Linked DNA regions of Arabidopsis thaliana. The protein of the gene in region 3 interacts with the protein of the main gene of each other region in a pairwise test. Each region holds a gene or a part of one and is shown on either strand. Other genes may lie near its edges. The genes, in order: IAA32, IAA15, ARF8 and IAA12.

What was found.
Region 1: the proteins of ARF8 (region 3) and IAA32 interact in a two-hybrid assay, tested with the Arabidopsis thaliana proteins (2 studies listed by BioGRID).
Region 2: the proteins of ARF8 (region 3) and IAA15 interact in a two-hybrid assay, tested with the Arabidopsis thaliana proteins (2 studies listed by BioGRID).
Region 4: the proteins of ARF8 (region 3) and IAA12 interact in a two-hybrid assay, tested with the Arabidopsis thaliana proteins (2 studies listed by BioGRID, with this or other methods).

The regions. Positions count from the first base shown.
Region 1 is NC_003071.7:115,944-121,132, forward strand, and holds IAA32 (indole-3-acetic acid inducible 32), read left to right. Parts: upstream 1-2,074; 5' UTR 2,075-2,231; exon of another isoform or gene 2,232-2,425; 5' UTR 2,426-2,441; coding exon 2,442-2,589; intron 2,590-2,692; coding exon 2,693-2,944; intron 2,945-3,023; coding exon 3,024-3,132; intron 3,133-3,209; coding exon 3,210-3,276; 3' UTR 3,277-3,565; downstream 3,566-5,189. Other genes in the region: PDE331 (Octicosapeptide/Phox/Bem1p family protein), read left to right, coding at 1-380, 492-1,353; AT2G01210 (Leucine-rich repeat protein kinase family protein), read right to left, coding at 3,566-4,245, 4,321-5,189. UniProt on the Arabidopsis thaliana protein: Aux/IAA proteins are short-lived transcriptional factors that function as repressors of early auxin response genes at low auxin concentrations.
Region 2 is NC_003070.9:30,220,912-30,224,921, forward strand, and holds IAA15 (indole-3-acetic acid inducible 15), read right to left. Parts: upstream 1,859-4,010; 5' UTR 1,792-1,858; coding exon 1,589-1,791; intron 1,497-1,588; coding exon 1,310-1,496; 3' UTR 1,109-1,309; intron 933-1,108; 3' UTR 718-932; downstream 1-717.
Region 3 is NC_003076.8:14,627,841-14,635,642, forward strand, and holds ARF8 (auxin response factor 8), read left to right. Parts: upstream 1-1,612; 5' UTR 1,613-2,310; coding exon 2,311-2,353; intron 2,354-2,437; coding exon 2,438-2,547; intron 2,548-2,636; coding exon 2,637-2,735; exon of another isoform or gene 2,736-2,841; coding exon 2,842-2,898; intron 2,899-2,974; coding exon 2,975-3,130; intron 3,131-3,223; coding exon 3,224-3,308; intron 3,309-3,589; coding exon 3,590-3,680; intron 3,681-3,751; coding exon 3,752-3,916; intron 3,917-4,000; coding exon 4,001-4,123; intron 4,124-4,235; coding exon 4,236-4,311; intron 4,312-4,439; coding exon 4,440-4,587; intron 4,588-4,819; coding exon 4,820-5,793; intron 5,794-5,881; coding exon 5,882-6,072; coding exon of another isoform or gene 6,073-6,076; intron 6,077-6,148; coding exon 6,149-6,266; 3' UTR 6,267-6,614; downstream 6,615-7,802. Other genes in the region: AT5G37030 (P-loop containing nucleoside triphosphate hydrolases superfamily protein), read right to left, coding at 6,774-7,189, 7,277-7,746. UniProt on the Arabidopsis thaliana protein: Auxin response factors (ARFs) are transcriptional factors that bind specifically to the DNA sequence 5'-TGTCTC-3' found in the auxin-responsive promoter elements (AuxREs). Seems to act as transcriptional activator.
Region 4 is NC_003070.9:1,238,500-1,243,107, forward strand, and holds IAA12 (AUX/IAA transcriptional regulator family protein), read left to right. Parts: upstream 1-1,794; 5' UTR 1,795-2,082; coding exon 2,083-2,285; intron 2,286-2,557; coding exon 2,558-2,844; coding exon of another isoform or gene 2,845-2,876; exon of another isoform or gene 2,877-2,925; coding exon 2,926-3,043; exon of another isoform or gene 3,044-3,116; coding exon 3,117-3,178; intron 3,179-3,261; coding exon 3,262-3,311; 3' UTR 3,312-3,658; downstream 3,659-4,608. Other genes in the region: AT1G04540 (Calcium-dependent lipid-binding (CaLB domain) family protein), read left to right, coding at 1-562; AT1G04555 (uncharacterized protein), read left to right, coding at 4,244-4,397.

The DNA.
Region 1 (5,189 bases), on a different chromosome or scaffold from region 3:
GTCCATGTAGAGGAACCAGGCGGAGTAAGGACTTTGCCAGATCAGAGAAATCTGGGAATTGAAGAACAGTTCGCACGATTCAACGTCGGGAACAAGCATCAGCTACATGACGACGGATTTGCTGCGATCTCTTCACCACCGCCGATGCCTGTCACAATCGCCCTTCCTGCTGCGCCTGTGACTGCAGCCACCGTCTCTAATGAGTTCCAGGCCAGGGTTTACTCAGATGACGAGAGATCCGATCACGGCGTGCAGGCTGGATACAGGAAGCCTCCGACTCCGCGATCGCAGCCGCAGAATCTACCGCCTCAGCAGGCTCATCAGCTGAAATCAAATAGCGGTGGTGGACACGAGCTGCCATCACCCAATTCCGTTTCCAGGTACTCTTTCTTCTTATATTGGAACCCTCATGAGCCTTAATTTGATGCTATAGAAGAACTAAGATTGGTCAGAACTCTGATTGTGTGTTTGCTATATAATGAATGCCTCAGTGATAGCAGTATGAGCAACCCAATGTTTCACCAAAGACCATCTGTCTATCAAGAACCAATTGCTCAGATACCTTCTGGCTCTACCGTTGTTACTGGTATGATCAATCCCTCAGATCCAAGCACACTTTTGTCACAGCATCAGAATCAGGACCCAGCCTATATCCTTCACCCCCAGTTTGAGCAACAATCTGCACAATCTCAGCCACAGCAGCAGTTCATACACACTGCTGCTCCTCCTCAATACATTCATCACCATCCGTCTAGCGGCCTTCCTGTCCCGACTTACATCCAGGTTTACCCTTCGCAACAGCCTCAACAGTCCTTCCATCAACACGCAGGTCGACTGGATCAGCAGCCTTATCCTGTTTATTATGTCACTGCTCCTGTCCCACCTAGGCCCTACAGTATGCCTGTGCCACAATCTCCAAGTGTGAGCGATGCTGCAGGGTCTATCCCCTCTAACCATCCCAACTCTACCATGATGCCTCCACCTCCTAACAACCACATGAGAAGTGTTAGCAGTGGCAAACCTGAGATGGGACAGGCTGGGGTTTACACAACAGCCCCAGGTGTGGGCGGTGCTCAGATGGTTCACCAGATTCCCACAAACCAGCAGCAATTCATGGGGTATTCGCAGATCCGTCACCCTCCTCAGTCTGGTTCAGCTGGGAATCCAAACTATGGATATGAATATGTCGACAATGCTCATACACAGATATACTACACTCAACCTATGGGACATGCACAGTACCAGACAATGACTGGGCCTCCACCTGCCATGGTGATGCCTGATGGTTCTGCTGCTGCTAAGCTTCCAGCTGAGAACATGACTCAACAGATCCGGAGTTCACAGCCATTGTGACACACACAAGGAACACATGAAGATGAACCACAAAATTTTGGAGGAAGAAAACCCCGGGTTGGTTTTTAAACGTATAAATATATAACTTTTACTTCTTTTTTCTTCTCTTCTTTTACAAGTTGCTGCATCAAAAAAAGAGTCTGGTGTCATGTTAAGTTTGGTATTATGGGTTGTGTTTAAAAGTGTTGTGTGAGTAAATTAAAAAAACAAATAAATAGTGCTTCTTGGTGGGATTTTACATTATATAGTTGCAATTGATACATGTAGTGCTTTACCATTTTCCTGGATCTTATATCATATTATTATCATTCATTTCATTTTGTAAATGTATCACTTTTTTGATCATCATCTCTCTATCTTGTTTTTTCAAGAGACTTTGAAGGCTATAATATTGTTCAGAAAGATTCTGAAATGTTATGTATAACATTTAATATTTGGAAGAATGTATGTCTGGCTTCTTGCTATCCATGGGAGCATAGGTACAGATATTAAAACATGTGTGTGGTCTTGCAAAAGTACACACAAACCCTACAACTTCTAAGAGACAAGGTGTGGGTGAAAAAGGTAGTGACAAAATCGATCTGTCTTGCAATTTAGCAACACAACTATCTCTTTTGAAAGAGATAGGCATTTGTATCTTTACCTAAACACCAAACCCAGTCCTTTTTATCTCTCTCTCTATACATGACTCAAAGATATTTTACTCTTGCACTACACTATTCTCTCATAAGCAACACAGAGCCTCACTTTGAATCGAGTTGTCAATAGTCCCAGATAATATTTCTGCAGTGTTCACAGAGTTGAGATGTGACTTTGTGCATCAGAAGCATTGGCAGACCTGGTTGGATTACAAGATCTGAACCAAATCTCTCTCTGTGGTCAGCTCCCCATCCCTTGCTTCAAACCAACTGGATCTTAATGGGTTTTTCTTGTCTTATGTCTCTTTCATGTCTGCAATTCTGTCTTTTTTTCTTTAACTCTTCTGACACTCTTTTAGCATCAGCTCATACTATAAATCTTTAGAAGTGAGCTCTCTTTTTCTCATCTCACTTTCCCTTCTCTGCATCTTTAGAAATAAAAAAGCATCAATGGACCCAAACACACCTGCAGACTTCTTCAAAGGTTCTTCCAAGTTTCATACATATTACTCACAGACCAAAAAGGGTGGTGGGGTAATCGATCTAGGCCTCAGCCTTAGGACCATACAACATGAAACTTACCTCCCACCGGCGCGAAGTGAGTTTTTTTTTTTTGCTGAATAGCCGTGCTTTCACCTCATCATTAGTTAGTTTTCTTAATCCTCAACTTGCTACCTTCAATATCTATATGTGAATCAAAGTGATAGGTCTCGACGGGTATGGAGAGCTCATAGACTGGTCGCAGCCCAGCTATAACAGCATTACACAGTTGAAGAGTGAGGACACTGGACACCAAAGACTTGCCCAAGGATATTACAATAATGAAGGAGAGAGCAGAGGAAAATATGCTTACGTAAAGGTAAATCTGGATGGCCTAGTGGTAGGGCGCAAGGTTTGCCTTGTTGATCAAGGAGCTTACGCAACTCTTGCTCTTCAGCTCAATGATATGTTTGGTAAGCCGTGTTCTGACCCCCAAGCTTCCAGCTACAAGTATGTTTCAGAAGGTTTTGCCACATTAATTCGAATCTGCAGGGATGCAGACCGTGTCGGGATTGAGGTTGTTCCAGACTGAGTCTGAGTTCTCTTTGGTCTACAGAGACAGAGAAGGCATTTGGAGGAATGTTGGGGATGTTCCATGGAAGTAAGCTCTTACATTTTCTCTATACAAAAACTAAGCATTTTAAGTTAACCACTTTGTAATTTGTCTGAAACCTGTAGGGAGTTTGTCGAAAGCGTGGATCGGATGCGAATCGCAAGAAGAAACGATGCTCTTCTTCCCTTTTAAGCTTTTAAGTCCAAGCTTCTTCTGGGGCGTTCACTGATTATCTAAGATCCAAATTAGCTCACTTGTGGTTCTATTGTTCAATATCTGATGTAATGGAAGCTTTAAGCTATAAATACGATTATGAAGAGAGGGACATCTTAATAACCAACCACCAACAAGACTGGGACAAATAAAAGAACAAAATAAAACAAAACAAACGGTAACCACATTAGTGTCATCAGGCTTATGCTTCAAAATACATTGCAGCTTCAAATTTCAAAACAAGCTTTATGTGCAATCTCTAGATGTCTCAATCGCCGGCCACGGGTAATCTGTCGAGCGTATCAGAAACGTGCCTCATGGTAGGCCTTTTCTCTGGACTGCTATTCACGCAACTGATTGCAATCTTAAGAACAGCAACAATCTCGTCTTCCGTCTCTGCCTCAGGAGCCAAACAAGGATCAAGAACATCACACAATGGTTTCTTCTCCTCAATGCATACCTGTACCCACCGCACTAGATCCATTTCCGATGTCCCCACCTCCACTGCGGGAGACCTACCCGCTATCAATTCCAGTAAAATGATCCCATAAGAGTAAACATCCCACTTCTGTGAAGGTTTTACCATCTTGAGAGTCTCAGGTGCTTGATAGTAGGATCCAGAAGAAGAGTGAGCAGTGAACTCCGAAGATACGCTCTTGTGATGGTGTTGTTGCCTCTCTTGCGGCTGTTGATCCGTTTGGATGATTCTGTTAGACTGTATGGTCGGAGAAGATCCTCCAGCGATGTTAGCTAACCGTGCTAGTCCAAAATCTGAGATCTTAGGTTCCATGTCCTGTCCAATGAGAATGTTGCTTGGCTTGAGATCTCCATGGACGTATTTCTTGGGACTAAACTCATGCAGATAAACAAGCCCTGTAGCAATCCCTTTCATTATCCTCAACCGTTCAGACCATGTCAACGGAGCGATGGTCATCATCCCCGGCTTTCCTGCACATACACACACACACATTTACGATGATGTAACTGAATAATGCATCTTGAAATGAGAAAAGAGTGACTCACCGTGGAGGGCGGTTGCGAGGTTACCGTTGGAAACATAGTCGTAGATGAGAAGCTTTTCATCGACAGACCAATAATAAGCTCGAAGACTAGCAATGTTAGGATGTTTTAGTTTCCCTATGGCTTCAACTTCTGTCTGAAACTCCTTGAATCTCTGAGACCCTCCTTCACCCAATCTCCGTACGGCCAGTGTGAGCCCGTTCTCTAGAACCACTTTGTAGACAATTCCGATTCCGCTCTTCCCCAGAACGAAAGCTGACGCCTTTAGCAGCTCCTCCAGGTTAAACGCAACCTGAGCGTCGAGGGGAACAATGTCGCAATGCTCCACGTTTTCAGATGGCGTTTCGGATTCGTCTTTACGGAAACACAGACACTCAGAAGCCCTTTTCTTGGATTCTTTCTCGACTCCGAATTGGTTCTCGCGGTTACAAGCGCAGAACTTTGAGTAGCAGTAAGTGAAAAGCAAACCCACAAGGCAGATACCAAACACGTCGCAGAGAACAATGGCAATGACGGCGCTTTTGCTCAAACCACTTGATTTCTGTTTGGTTTCAGAGTTAGTACTATCAGAATCCTCAGGTGGGTTGTTGCTTGGGATAAAAGGGTAAGAGGCATTGAGGCCAAGTTGATATCCTTGGCAAAGGTCCTTCAATGGAGGCCCGCATAGACCAGTGTTGCCGATAAACGCTGTTGGTCCTCTGTTCATAAGAGCACCGGTTTGAGGAATGGGACCGGAGAGATTATTGAAAGTGAGATCAATGTAAACCTTTTCAGGAAGATCTCCAAGGGCAGGTGGGATTGAGCCGGTGAAGTGATTATGAGAGAAATCAGCAGTTCCTTGAAGGTTGGAGAGGTTTCCAATGTCGCTGGGG
Region 2 (4,010 bases), on a different chromosome or scaffold from region 3:
AATTTTTAAATTTTGTATATATATTTGGACACAACATGCAAACCCCTAAAAAGTGTCCTAGATTTAAAATGGTTTACACACTATTTAAACTTTTAACACTTGTTTTTTTTTTTAACAAATGTTTTTAAAATTCTATTTTTACATTACTACTAAAACTATAAGTTTATTTTTGGATAAATGTTAAAATTTTAAATTTTCAAATGGCACTTCGTTTATTGATAATAGATGTTTCCGCCATGTAATCAATAACAATAAGATATATACAGAGTGCTAGAGAAAAATGTTACAAGAAAGAAATCCGCTTTTATATTACGATCTCTAGGATAATTTAATGTCAATCTCAAGTATTCAATTCCATTTTTAGTTCTTCGTTTATTGATATTCCTGCATGTAATCAATAACAGTAAGGTCTACGAGTGCTAGAGAAAAATGTTACAAGACCTAGCATTCTTACAAAAAAAAAAATCCGCTTTTATATTACGATCTCTAGGATCATTTAATGCACAAATTCGAATGCATAAAAATGAAACGTGTAATTTTTTTAAAAAAAACATATTAAAACTTTGAGCATCCCGTCTTGTCGAGTGTCGATGTCGTCATGCCCGGATCGTGGTGGTCGGCACTGATGCTTAAAAGTGGTTTGTAATTATTGAATTAAAAAAAAAAAAAGTAAAATCATTTAAACAATAGTAGTACATTACATACAAAATCCACGGCCAAAAAAGGTTTGAAATTACATATATAGCATATTGCAATTCAAAAATGCAATTGTATACATCTCTACAGTATTTAATGCATTTGTGATCATAATCTTATATAGCCTTTCGAAGATCCGATGCGTTTACGTTGTGGGAAGCAGAATAGAGACCTATAATCCAATAGCATCTCCGGTTTTCATTAACCTCATACGTTTGCAAGATTCCACAAACATCCTACACAAATTAAATATCATCAATCCCAAGAAAATTTAGTTTCCTTCACAGCAGAATAATACAGTAATTCTAGTTTTGATATGAATGTAAGTAACAAAATAGTACAGAAATTCTAGTTTTGAATAAAAAAGGAAAAGTACGTAAAAGCAACACAAAGGGTAATTCCGAGAACTCACATCCACGGCACATCTCCGACTAACATCAAGTCACCGTCCTTATCCTCGTAAGTAGCAACAAACTCTCCCTTCCTCTCCAACTCTGTCACTCTACCTACCACCATCCAAAACCCCAAGTGTAAGTAAATTTACCATAATATCCTTCACTTCGTCAGTCCATCCAAACACATCAAAATCTTTATTTTTTCCTACTTATCTCGATCACTTACATATTGTTATTATCCCCTGAAACATGTTTTCTAGAGCGGTGAAAAGCTGTCCATAGCAATCGTACATCCCAAGATCAACCTTTCTGAGATAGGCCGCACCATCCAACGCCACTTTCACGTATTTCCGCCTCACTGTTTTCCTCGCTGTCGCTACCGGCGGCCAGCCCACCAACTGGTCACTAAAACCACAATAAATTAAGAAGATCAATCAAACATGCATATGACCTATATGAACGATAAATGAAATTAATATAATATATATATGCCGTACTTAGTGACCATGCTTGAGATATAATTGTTCTCGTGTGCTTCCCCGAGTTTTAAATCAACGGTCTCGAGGAATCTACGTTTGTTCCCGAACTTTTTTGGACCTTCCGATGCATTTGTCGGAGTGCCAGGCAAAGCTAGGGTCAGCTCAGTTCCTCCAAGATCACCGGAATCCGGCCAAACCCTAACGTATTCCTCCGGTGACATTAATATCTTAATCTATTTATGAAAGTTAGTTAACAACAAAAGTGCGGAAAGTGATGAGACAATGTGGCACTAACTTTTGGCTTGAGTGTGTGAGACTCTCGAGGTTTCCAACTTTGTATTTATAGTCGATCTATACTTGTCAGCTAAAAAACTAGTGAACCCTACCTATAATGACACGTTTTCCTGTAACTGGCGGTTTTTATATCTCCACGAAAGCAAGTGAACAGTTTGGTGATTAGCTTCTACTTCGTGTGGTGTGGGCTCATTTATAGTTATAGCCACTTAGCATCTTCTAAACTGTCATTAGTGGATGTAATTGCATGTGTACGGATATCTTTTCAGTTTTAATTTCTATTAGCCTGGTATCAAAAGAAGAAGAAGAAGAAGAAATCACTGTCAACTAAAAAAGAAGAAAGAAGAAGAAGAAATCAGCCCTGATCTTTAAGCTCCCACGTCACGACTGATGGGTTCGATTAAGGAGAAAAATATATAATTTGATTATATTATCCACTAGCATTCACAAAACGAGAAAAATATATATTCTAAATACCATTATTTACTTTCTAAATAGAGTTGAAAATATCATTTTAATCGCATTCATGTTACCTTTGCTTATAATCGTTGGAAAATATAATAAACTTTATTCCCATATATATTTGTTTGTGTTTGTCAACTTCAGTCCAATAATTTAACATTAGACCAAAAAAAAAAAACTTCAGTCCAATATATTCTTCGGGAGAGATCTTCAATAGTGTTCCTTTTGTCTACACTTTGTTGTCGCTTTACTCCTTTAAATTATCATTCCAACTAACTTTTTCTTGGTAAAAAAGTTTCACCATTATATATGTACATCAACTTTCACTGTCGTCGGTCGAAAACAAATCATGGTCTAACAATATATTCCTAATTATCTATCATCGTACACTACACACTAATTAGGTACAATACTTCTTCATTAGTTTAATCTTTCACCGAATATCAGAAGAAATCCCAACTAATATGCGTGTGGATCTTGTAAACAATGAAAAGAATGTTCCCACCAAAAAAACAATGTGAACAGAACTAAATGTTGAAACTTCTACTTCAAAATTGAAATAAAATCTAAAATAAAATATATAATGAACATCAATCATTGTATAAAAGCGATTAAAAGTTTCATGATTTGGGATAAAAAAAGTTAGAGATAGATAACTATCCCTTTTTTAGTGAACAAGTATAAAGTTTTTACTGAAAAGTTTTTCAGTGTCCGGTATTAATTTCATATTAGTCATATTATTTACATGCAATATGAAATGAGATGTCAAAAAAGTTTAGACAAAGGAAAAGAGCAGAACATTAATTACAGCAGCGTAGGGTCACATGCGTAAGTCACGTGACTCTGTTTTTCGTTGGGGAACATAGAATCATAAATGATTTTTTCGATGGTTCACGACACTATTCTTAGACCAATAAGGGCAATAAGAGTTAAACCAGGGGCTAATAGGTCCTACTGGCGACACATAGACGAATTTACCGGTTTCGATTACAAACCCGTGACCGGTAATTCCGGTCAGCCATTGTTTTCTAAGTTTGTTTTCTTTCGTTATAATGCGCATGGAATGAAACAGTCGTATAATTCATTTAACTCGACTCGTAACAAAATATGTGAGATAATAATAAGAAGTACATAAATTTGGTAGCTAGTATTTAATGTTAATTGATACTTTTTGTCTCAAATAATCGAAACTGCTTTTAGGCTCTAGAAAACTGATATTGATGTCTTGGACATTTACTTGGGTATAATAAATTGCGATAACATAATAGAGCGGTCCGAGACTTAGAGAATTACGAAACCAGTAAATTCTATACAGATTGTTTATCCAATTAAGCCCAAACCAATCCAGGTTTCCTACAGTGGGTCAAGAATACATCATGGCAGATTTGATACATCATAATGCCATTATGGTATCAAGCCCAAAATAAGCCCAGTTATTTTTTCTTTCTTTTGTTGTCATTCCATAAAAATCTACATAACGGAATCCAGAATTTGATTAAGATCTTATTCCGTTATGTTCCAGATAATTAGAGTGTCATATCTCTATAATGAACTTCATATTAAATTTCTTTGTCTTAACATGCATTAGAAAAAAGGGTTTAAAACTCTATTAAGAACTAAATATATCAATAACATTTACAGTATAATTTTAAAATTTAGAATGACAAAAGAAACATTATAGAAT
Region 3 (7,802 bases):
TATAATAGAAGTGGAAAAGTTACACCAAGGAAAATTGAACCTACAATCGAAATAAATGAGATAACAAAAGTATTACAATAAATTTATTGAAAGACACCAAACCAGATGAATGATCCGTTGAGCTATCCAACAAGGGTCTAGATGACATTGAAGAATGTTAATGATAAATAATGAGAACTGAGGCTGGCTTTGAGGATGAATTATGCAATCTTGCATTGCGCTTTTTTCCATATGGAGTACAGTGAGGCTTGATAGGCAATTCGAAGAATCAAAGTAGTTTTCTTGTCACGACAAGGATTCTTCAACCATCTAACTTCATCCTCAAATTGATTTAGAGGAGAAAGATGGGCTTTATCATAGAAATAGTGTCATACCTTTGCAACATAAGAGCAGTCGAAGAATAAATGTTAGCGAGATTCATCCATCAAATTACAGAGAAGACACGACGAAGGAGTAGTCATGCCCCATCGAATCATTTTGTCTCTAGTGAGAAGTCTATGATGAGACTTTAGCCAAGCAATGAAAGCATGCTTAAGAATCCTTCCTGGAAATCACACAGATTCAAACCGATCCATCTTTGTGTCAGGAGGATGAAGATGTGCATAAGTTTTTTTTTGAATATTAATGTGCCTAAGTTTTAGCAGCAGAGAAAATATTTGATGCATGGATATCATCACCTTCCAAAGGTAAACATCATCCTCTACATCCTCTTGTAAGTTAACAGTAGAATAGGAAGGAAGACATTCTTTAAGCAACTGAATAATGGGACTGCGACTTCGAGAATTTGTAAGCCACTATTGTCTCTTTCTCAATGCATCCGCAACCACAACAGAACGAGGGAGAAGAGAAATTCTTAGTCATAAATCTTCAGGTTAGCTCGACAAATATGGTCCCAAAAAAATCCAATTATCAGTCCAGAAATTACAAGTTATTTCTGAACCAATTTCACAAACGATGAAAAACCTAGTTAAGGGTCTTAACTTGCAAAGATTATTCCAAATCCAGCTTCTCCAAGTGATACACTCCATATCCCAAATTTTTTAAAAATTATTCAAACAAGATCCATGTGTATTAGTTTTCTCTTTTGGTAAGTAAAATAGTGGTATCCATAAGATGTTGGATTATCGGGCATCTATTTGCTAATGATTGTTTCTAAATTAGAACTTAGATTTGCGAATCTAATAATACATCACTTATCAATAGATAAACCTTTGACCATTTTTTCAACGAACTCATAAAAGATCCAACAAAATATTTTTTGAGTTATTAAATTAAATACTACTATAAATTATCTTTAAATAAATCAAATTATGGGAGTATTTGGTGTTTCTTTCATCAATGAATGGAGCAAAAATAAAAAGTATTTAAAATAAACAACGCTAACATTTATGACAACTCTATTATCTCTCTCTCACTCTCTCACTTCAAATACTATAATTCATTGTCCTTTTCATCGAATCCAAGACCTCAAAAAAAACAATTATTATTTTTCAACGATCAAGATCTCAAGAGTCAAATCCAACGGTCAAAAAGAAGTGACTCTGGTACTGACACCACCTCTCATAATTCTCGTTAGTAGGACCTCTCTTCTTCTTCCTTCTCTCCACTGTATCGGATCCGGGTCAAATCCGGGTCGGGTGGAGTCGGGTCGGGTCTCTTATAAGAGGAGGAAAACCACTTACTCACTTTCTTCTTCTTTTCTCTCTCTCTTTCACCCCCACGCACTCTTCTTTTCTCTCTCTGACACATATCTTTTTCTCTCACTAACCATTTCTTTCTCTCTCTCTCTTCTGTTTTTGAAAGCCAAAGTGTCTCTCTTGGACAGTGATGGAACTGCTTCAAGAGATTTAATTTTTTACCCACGAGAGAAGTCAAGTTGTTGAAGAAGAAAGATTTGTTCTTTTGTCTTGTTTCTTTCATTTTTTCATCCACAAAGATCTCAAAGACAAGAGTTTTTTTTTTTCTGTTGGGGTTGCTTCAATGCGTACTTGTAGTAGAGAGCTTGTGTTGTTGTTCATGGTTTGATGATGAGAAGAAACAGATTCTGGTTTTGAAGAAATGGGGTTTGTTCTGTTTCTTGTGTTTAAGGGTTTTATGGATGGTTTTTTGATTCGAAGCTTTCACTGAGTCTTATGGTTGTGAGTGAGATTTTTGGGGGTTTGAACAAAGGAGATGGAGAAAGACGAGTTTGTACTTCCGGAGCTAAAGAGTTATAGCTACTGTAGTAGCTGGAAGTGAAGAAGATTTTTTAATAGATTGTACGGAAAAATTAGGGTTTTCAAAGTTTGGTTTCTTGAAGTTGAATTAGACATGAAGCTGTCAACATCTGGATTGGGTCAACAGGGTCATGAAGGTGACTTGTTTACTCTCTGATTTTCTTAGTTCTGTTTCTGGACAAGTGTTTTCTTAGTTCTTGTGTCTGTGTTTGTTCTAACAGGAGAGAAGTGTCTGAATTCTGAGCTATGGCATGCTTGTGCTGGACCATTAGTCTCTCTTCCATCATCTGGTAGTCGAGTTGTTTACTTTCCACAGGGTCACAGTGAACAGGTTTGGGTTGTTGTTTAAAAGTATGGAGCTTTATTTTTAGACTTGTGTTATATTTGGGCATTTCCATTTAAATAGAAGTGTACTTGTAGGTAGCTGCTACAACTAATAAGGAAGTTGATGGTCACATACCCAATTACCCAAGCCTACCACCACAATTGATATGCCAGCTCCATAATGTTACAATGCATGTGCGTAGTTAGTTCCCTGTCCCTTTCCATATTCAATTTTTACTTTTGTAAACTAGTTTTGGGATGATGTGCTTTGTAAGTATGGGTTTCGTTTCTACTATTTCAGGCAGATGTTGAGACGGATGAAGTCTATGCTCAAATGACACTTCAACCATTGACACCGGTAGATACATTATACATAACAGGTTTTTGAGTCTGTGAATTAATAACTTAAGCTTTAGGATTGGTGTTGTTTATAGGAGGAGCAGAAGGAAACATTTGTACCGATTGAGTTGGGGATACCGAGTAAGCAACCTAGTAATTATTTTTGTAAGACTCTCACAGCTAGTGATACCAGTACACATGGAGGGTTTTCTGTTCCTAGACGTGCTGCTGAGAAAGTGTTTCCTCCATTGGTATTATACTTTTTCTTTTACTTACTTTGCTATAAATTGTTGTTGAGAAAATATATGTATTCCTTTTAATATCTTGTGTCTTCCCTGTTGCAGGATTACACACTGCAGCCACCAGCTCAAGAACTGATTGCAAGGGATCTCCATGATGTTGAATGGAAGTTTAGGCATATCTTTCGGGGTAGGTTTCACCTTTCCTCGGTGTGCGTTGATGATCCCTTTTTAACTGTAGTCGCCAGTGTAAAAATTTCAATTGGCTGTTAAGTATGTCTGAAGCAGCATCTGCTGTTATTTTCACTACTCATGTGTGGTTTAGTTGAAGAAACCACGGAGGCTCTGTGTTCTTGTCGTTGTCTATTATAACGTGGAATTATTTACTTGTTCATATGAAGTTAAGTTGATTTGAATCCTTCTTCTTGGTTTGTTAGGAATAACTTACATGGTTTTGGTGTGATTATGCAGGACAGCCCAAACGGCATCTCCTAACTACTGGATGGAGTGTCTTTGTCAGTGCCAAGCGACTAGTAGCTGGAGATTCTGTCATTTTCATCAGGTTTAGTTCTTTTGTTGTACGTTCAGTTTGTGGATTGTGATTATATTTGTAACACTATTACTTGTTTCCAGGAATGAAAAGAATCAACTCTTTTTGGGAATTCGTCATGCCACTCGGCCGCAGACTATTGTACCATCATCTGTTTTATCTAGTGATAGCATGCATATTGGACTCCTTGCTGCTGCTGCACATGCTTCTGCAACTAATAGCTGTTTCACTGTTTTCTTTCATCCAAGGTTGAAAAATCTCTCCCACCTGCATCTTTTTCATCTCTCGGTATATCCGATAATATATCCTACTAATATTCTCTTCATGTTCAGGGCTAGCCAATCTGAGTTTGTGATACAACTTTCCAAGTACATTAAAGCCGTTTTTCACACGCGTATTTCAGTTGGGATGCGCTTTCGCATGCTCTTCGAGACAGAAGAGTCGAGTGTCCGCAGGTGATGATGCCACATATCTGGAAATGCAATCTTGAAACTGAGAAAACTATATCATTATGTTACACATATTACTTTAACATGTTTTCTGACAGTGGCATGGGGAACTTTCCAGGTACATGGGTACTATAACTGGTATTAGTGATCTAGATTCTGTTCGTTGGCCAAACTCTCATTGGCGATCTGTGAAGGTAACAACACTATTAAGCCTGTTACCTTATTTAAATTCCATGGAACGTCACACAGCTTTCTGATGATTTAGTCCAATATTACTCTGAAATTCCATCAACATTGATGAACTGTGGCATTATTGGTGTAGGTTGGTTGGGATGAATCGACTGCAGGGGAGAGACAGCCAAGGGTTTCTTTATGGGAGATTGAGCCTCTGACTACCTTTCCTATGTATCCATCTCTTTTTCCTCTCAGACTAAAACGTCCATGGCATGCTGGCACATCATCTTTGCCTGGTATCCACCTTTTGGCTCTTCTCCTAACTGTTATTAACTAGTATAGTACGTTCGTGAAGTCTCTTACTGTCACTCAGTGTTTCTGCTATTGTAACTTAGTTGCTACTTCGGATAAATAACAAATGTTCGATTGAGTAGAGCTCTGAAGAGGGTCTTACTGTTATAATTTATTTACAAAGAAGTGTGTAGGTACTCTCCATAGCTATTTACTCAAAACATTATGATGTTACAGATGGAAGGGGTGATTTGGGAAGTGGTCTAACATGGCTAAGAGGGGGAGGTGGAGAGCAGCAAGGTTTGCTTCCTCTAAATTATCCATCTGTTGGTTTGTTTCCATGGATGCAACAAAGGCTGGATCTCAGTCAAATGGGGACTGATAATAATCAGCAATACCAAGCAATGTTAGCTGCTGGGTTGCAGAACATCGGCGGTGGAGATCCTTTAAGACAGCAGTTTGTACAGCTGCAAGAGCCTCACCACCAATATCTTCAACAATCAGCTTCCCATAATTCTGATTTGATGCTTCAGCAGCAACAGCAGCAACAAGCGTCACGCCATCTCATGCATGCTCAAACACAGATTATGAGTGAGAATCTTCCGCAGCAGAATATGCGACAAGAAGTTAGTAACCAACCAGCTGGACAGCAGCAACAGCTACAGCAACCGGACCAAAATGCATATCTTAATGCTTTCAAAATGCAAAATGGCCATCTTCAACAGTGGCAGCAGCAATCAGAGATGCCATCTCCCTCGTTCATGAAGTCAGATTTTACTGACTCAAGCAACAAATTTGCAACAACTGCTAGTCCGGCTTCTGGAGATGGCAATCTTTTGAATTTTTCTATAACCGGTCAGTCTGTACTCCCTGAGCAGTTAACAACAGAGGGCTGGTCTCCAAAAGCATCCAACACTTTTTCTGAACCGTTGTCACTTCCACAAGCCTATCCTGGGAAGAGTCTTGCTCTAGAACCCGGAAATCCGCAGAATCCCTCTCTTTTCGGTGTTGATCCCGACTCTGGACTCTTCCTCCCCAGTACGGTTCCCCGCTTTGCTTCTTCATCAGGAGATGCTGAAGCTTCCCCTATGTCACTAACAGATTCAGGATTTCAGAATTCCTTATATAGCTGCATGCAAGACACAACTCATGAGTTATTGCATGGAGCTGGACAGATTAACTCGTCCAACCAAACCAAGAACTTTGTAAAGGTGCTGGTTTGTTCTAGGCTCACCGACTTCTCTGTGGCTCTACTGTCTCTAAGAAAATACTGATATGCTTACAAATCCAAAACTGCAGGTTTATAAATCTGGTTCGGTTGGGCGTTCATTAGACATCTCCCGATTCAGCAGCTACCACGAGCTGCGAGAAGAGTTAGGGAAGATGTTTGCTATCGAAGGGTTGTTGGAAGACCCCCTTAGATCAGGCTGGCAGCTTGTATTCGTTGACAAGGAAAATGATATTCTTCTCCTTGGTGATGACCCATGGGAGTAAGTAAAGTACTCTTCTTCTATTTGTATACATTGCTTTAGATTTGAGATAGATCTTTAAAAGCTTGTTCTGCAGGTCATTTGTGAATAACGTTTGGTACATAAAGATACTATCACCAGAAGATGTGCATCAAATGGGAGATCATGGAGAAGGCAGTGGTGGGTTATTCCCGCAAAACCCGACCCATCTCTAGAAGCTGCTTCGGTGTTAGTCTCATCATGCTACAACGCGGGAGCCCTTTGTTTCCCATTTGAAGTCGTTTCCACTCATCTTTATATGCCATTCGTTCGCATCTCTCTCGTTTTGACGTTTTTAGAAAGAAACATAATCATATTTGTGAGTATGGGTCCTGAAACTTTAGGACGTACTTTAGCTTGTATTAGACAGACACTCTCGTCATAAACATAAGAACCTTTATGTAGCTGTCTCAGGGTAACTAAACTTTTCTAGTATTTATTCTTATTCTATTTTTGTAACAACATTGTTAGACATTCAGTTTGGTCAGACCAATTAGATTCCATAAGGTGTGAAACCAAAACCAACCAAATCTTTAAAACACAACCATTAATCACAAAATGTTACCAAAAGCTTCTACTAGTAACTTAGGTTGAAGAATGACATAGATGAAGTACCAACAACTCATTTTCTCCCTTTCTTTTTGACCCAAAGAGTACTTAAACGTGCACACACATCAGACTTATCAACCTTGGACAGCATTCATGGCATCTCTCAATCTCTTATCATCTTTAGCATCATAGAAGCATTTACGTCTCTTCGAGTCACTTATAAGGTTTGCCCAAATCGAACCACTCCGAGCCAGTGTTGACTCATTTCCAATCACCCATAAACAGTGCCTAGCTCGAGTGAGTGCCACATTGGCTCTTTGACGGTTACTGAGAAATCCAACCTTCCCGTTACTATTACTTCTAACGGTAGAGATGATGATAATGTCTTCTTCACCACCTTGAAACCCATCTACAGACCGAACATTCACAGTGAAAAGCTCACCTGATAAGGAACTGTACTTATCTCTGATTCTCTCTTGGATTGCTCTAACTTGTCCTTTGTAAGGAGTAATCACTCCAACACTCATTTTCATCTTTCTTTCCCTAGAAACTGTTTCAACATTAAGCAAATTTTGTCAAAAGGAATAATGAAACAGTTTAAATACTATACACTTATAAATCAATAAAGATTATATACCTTTGAAAAGATTTGATATGATTTCAGAAACCACAGCAACTTCAACCATGTTCTTGGGACTATCTCCATCACCAAACTCTTCTTTTCCACGTCCAACATTGATAAAAGAAAATGAGCCAAACATGTTTCCTTGAAGAAACCTCTTTTGATAAATACTTTCTTGAACATTTGCAGCATCTTTGATTCTCCCACCATAAAACTCTTTATAAGGGAAACGACTAATCGAAGGATGCATTCGGTACTGAACATCAAGCAAATGCTTTTTATGACCAAGCAGAACCAATCTCTCGAACAAGCTTCTTCCGAATTTCGCCTTCTCGCATTGATCGTTATGAACCATTGCAGGTAACTGAAACTCATCTCCTATTAGAATGGCGTGACGTAGTCCAGGAAGTTGCAATGCAGCAACTGATTCACATTCTTTAAGCTGAGCTGCCTCATCAACCACAAGAACTTCTATATTTCCAGTCCTTTCCTCATTTATTTCTGCAGCACCTGAGGCTGTGCATATGATTTATGTCTGCAT
Region 4 (4,608 bases), on a different chromosome or scaffold from region 3:
AACCCCGATCCGATCAAACTACATGGCTACACCGATGAGAACTCATCACGATTTTGGTACACCAGTGAGGAATTTAGCTGGAAGACGAATCTTAACTGAATCGGAGTTAGGACCATCGCCATCTGAAGTGGCTGACAAATTGGCGAAAGATAGATCGCACGAAACGGAAAGTTCAATACTCAGCGAATGGAGCATCGATGAATCTAGCATCGAAGGATTGCGATCAAAACTCGAGAGATGGCGAACAGAGCTTCCACCGTTGTACGACATAGGATCAAGCCATATAAGTAGCACTGATTACGATGGCGCGAGCGTTCCAGCTGCAACTGCCGGGGGAGGAATGAGTTCAAGACGGAAAACTCCGACGACGAAAAAGCATAACCGCCGTCACACAGATGGAGGTAATGGACTTTTCTCGTGTTTTAGTAAGATTTGTGGTGTGGAATGCAGTTTCGTATGCGGTGGTGGTGGTGGGCCGATGGTCTCAGAAGGATCTACTAAGAAAGGTGGAGCCGGACGTGTGCAACGCACATATTCCGCTGACGATCTGAGCTTTGTGTGATCTTTATTTTATTGGTCTTATATTAACTTTTATTTTTTTTGGAAAACTATATTTTTTAAGGATCTGAGCTGATGAATTAATCAAATAGTAAACAAAAATTAATTTATTAATGTTGTGTTAATAAATCATTTATTTTTGTGTATTCCTCTTCTTCTTCCTTATTTTTAAAAAATTAAAAAATGTTCTTCTTATAATATAGTGTTTAATAGAAAGTGAGCTCACACAACAAAATTAGAAAACTGTGAATGAATGTAAGAGAGTGAGTGGAATAAAAAAAATATAAAAATGAAATCTAAGAGTGAGTGAACAAATGTTGGTATTGTAGACAATGGTGACTAAAATTAAAAAGAAACAAAATGATATAAACATTAATCTAAAAAAAACTAAAATAAATATACAAATTCTGCATTTCTAACTATACTTTCATGTATTATGTATACTTATTTGATTCATACATGATATAACCGGTTATTTAGTTTATTTTCTATCAAATCCATCAATTAGAGCATGAAATCTATGTACTCCTTGATAATGATTTTGATCAAAAGTGTAATTTCCACAAACCAATTGCGCCTGCAAAAGTTTTCAAAGGATCATCAAACATAATGATGAATATCTCATCACCACGATTTTATAATAATGCATCTTTTCCCACCATTTTTTTTCCCTCACTTTCTTTTATAATCTTGTTCGACAACAATCATGGTCTAAGGAAAAAGTTGAAAATATATATTATCTTAGTTATTAGAAAAGAAAGATAATCAAATGGTCAATATGCAAATGGCATATGACCATAAACGAGTTTGCTAGTATAAAGAATGATGGCCAACCTGTTAAAGAGAGACTAAAATTAGGTCTAAAATCTAGGAGCAATGTAACCAATACATAGTATATGAAATATAAAAGTTAATTTAGATTTTTTGATTAGCCCAAATTAAAGAAAAATGGTATTTAAAACAGAGACTCTTCATCCTAAAGGCTAAAGCAATACAATTTTTGGTTAAGAAAAGAAAAAAACCACAAGCGGAAAAGAAAACAAAAAAGAACTATATTATGATGCAACAGCAACACAAAGCAAAACCTTGCACACACACATACAACTGTAAACAAGTTTCTTGGGACTCTCTATTTTCTCTTGCTGCTTGAACCAAACACAACAACGATATCCCAACGAGAGCACAACAGGTTTGATTATGTCGGAAGACAAGTTTTGAGAGAAAACAAACAATATTTTATAACAAAGGAGAAGACTTTTGGTTAGAAAAAATTGGTATGGCCATTACAAGACATATGGGTCCCAATTCTCATCACTCTCTCCACCACCAAAATCCTCCTCTCTCTCTCTCTCTTTTACTCTGTTTTCATCATCTCTTTCTCTCGTCTCTCTCAAACCCTAAATACACTCTTTCTCTTCTTGTTGTCTCCATTCTCTCTGTGTCATCAAGCTTCTTTTTTGTGTGGGTTATTTGAAAGACACTTTCTCTGCTGGTATCATTGGAGTCTAGGGTTTTGTTATTGACATGCGTGGTGTGTCAGAATTGGAGGTGGGGAAGAGTAATCTTCCGGCGGAGAGTGAGCTGGAATTGGGATTAGGGCTCAGCCTCGGTGGTGGCGCGTGGAAAGAGCGTGGGAGGATTCTTACTGCTAAGGATTTTCCTTCCGTTGGGTCTAAACGCTCTGCTGAATCTTCCTCTCACCAAGGAGCTTCTCCTCCTCGTTCAAGGTTCGTCCTTTTTCTTATTAAGAAAGCTCAAATCTTGTGATGTGAGTGTTATGCCATCTCAGGACAGAATTGTGTAGGTGCTTTTGTTTTAGTTTACCCTGAATAAGAGTTAGGTATCTATCTCCATTGATGAGCTTGTGCTTGTCCTGTGCTATAGATTTCTCTATGGAGTCATGCAAATGCTAAGATTTGTTCATTTTAATGTCTGTTTAGATGATTACATCTGAATTTCGAGAGCCATTGAGTGGAAATTTCTTGGTTTGTTGTGGCAGTCAAGTGGTAGGATGGCCACCAATTGGGTTACACAGGATGAACAGTTTGGTTAATAACCAAGCTATGAAGGCAGCAAGAGCGGAAGAAGGAGACGGGGAGAAGAAAGTTGTGAAGAATGATGAGCTCAAAGATGTGTCAATGAAGGTGAATCCGAAAGTTCAGGGCTTAGGGTTTGTTAAGGTGAATATGGATGGAGTTGGTATAGGCAGAAAAGTGGATATGAGAGCTCATTCGTCTTACGAAAACTTGGCTCAGACGCTTGAGGAAATGTTCTTTGGAATGACAGGTCTGTACTGTTTTCAAATGCGTACACTATAAACCCGATGTTTTCTATGAATCTACTGATAGTTTCTGTTTTATCTATCAGGTACTACTTGTCGAGAAAAGGTTAAACCTTTAAGGCTTTTAGATGGATCATCAGACTTTGTACTCACTTATGAAGATAAGGAAGGGGATTGGATGCTTGTTGGAGATGTTCCATGGAGGTAAGATTCGGATATTAAGCAGTATTGCAGTAGTTCAAAACCTGATTAGTCTCTTTTCTCTCTTTTTGTTTAGAATGTTTATCAACTCGGTGAAAAGGCTTCGGATCATGGGAACCTCAGAAGCTAGTGGACTAGGTAAGTTTTAAAGATCATCTTCTGGTTTCTTGATTTCTCGTCTTGACTAATGAAAAAGACTGATTGAATCATTTTTAATGCAGCTCCAAGACGTCAAGAGCAGAAGGATAGACAAAGAAACAACCCTGTTTAGCTTCCCTTCCAAAGCTGGCATTGTTTATGTATTGTTTGAGGTTTGCAATTTACTCGATACTTTTTGAAGAAAGTATTTTGGAGAATATGGATAAAAGCATGCAGAAGCTTAGATATGATTTGAATCCGGTTTTCGGATATGGTTTTGCTTAGGTCATTCAATTCGTAGTTTTCCAGTTTGTTTCTTCTTTGGCTGTGTACCAATTATCTATGTTCTGTGAGAGAAAGCTCTTGTTTATTTGTTCTCTCAGATTGTAAATAGTTGAAGTTATCTAATTAATGTGATAAGAGTTATGTTTATGATTCCAAAGAATGAATATTTGTTCCTTAATATGGTTTGTTGTTTTCTGTCTTTTTGAAGTTTCCATTGACTCGAGTCAAAACGTTTTGCAGAAACAGAGAAGAGTGTGTCATTAAAAAAAACAGAGAAGATGTTTATTTTTTTTGGTCGAAGAGAAGATGTTTCTAAGACCATCAAAATCATATATTGATGATTGATGACAAGAAAAGTTTTGACCATCAAAAGTTTTGTCCTTAATTGTTCTTAAATTCACACAAAATACGTTAAGAGTTATCTTTTAAAACTGCAAACTACTTTAAATTGATAAACTTTGAAAAGTAAAGATTTTATTCTTAATCTGATAGTTGAAGACAAAGAAAATAACAAATGTTTGGATTCACGTCACCAAATCAAAATATAATAAGGTTATGGATTGTTTAGGTAATATTTAACTTGTTACCTAGAAAAGGAGATACAGTGCTTAGCAAGTCCAACCAAAGATTAAAGGATAAGTAGTAAAGTCAAAAGACCAGTAAATTAAAGTCTTGTAGAGAAAGGAAGAAGGAAGATTCATGATCCTTGATAAAATTCAAGTTTGGTGAAATTCTAAAGACCACGGTTTAGATTTTTGGGGTTTGCTTTGGAATAAGATAATGGATCATCAATGGCGCATGAGGTTTTCGTTCAAGAACGCAACAATTGCTCTCACTGTCATCAACGTTCTCATCTTCCTCTTCCTCCTTCAGGGCTTTTTCACTTCCTCCTCTTCTCCATCTTCTTCTTCTTCTTCTCGCCGACTCATTTCAGGTCTGTAACTTTTCTGAATTCCTTGTGGGTATATCCTGATTTTGCGTAATTTCTCTGGATTTCATCGGAATTTGAGCAAAGTTTGGTGCTTTAGGGATCATCTTCTGATGGGTCTTTCTCGGATCTGCTCATAACAAAAAGCTTGTTGACTCGTTTTTAGATTTCTGGATCCTGTGGTCACTTCAATTCGATCTTTGTAGATTTAGGGCTT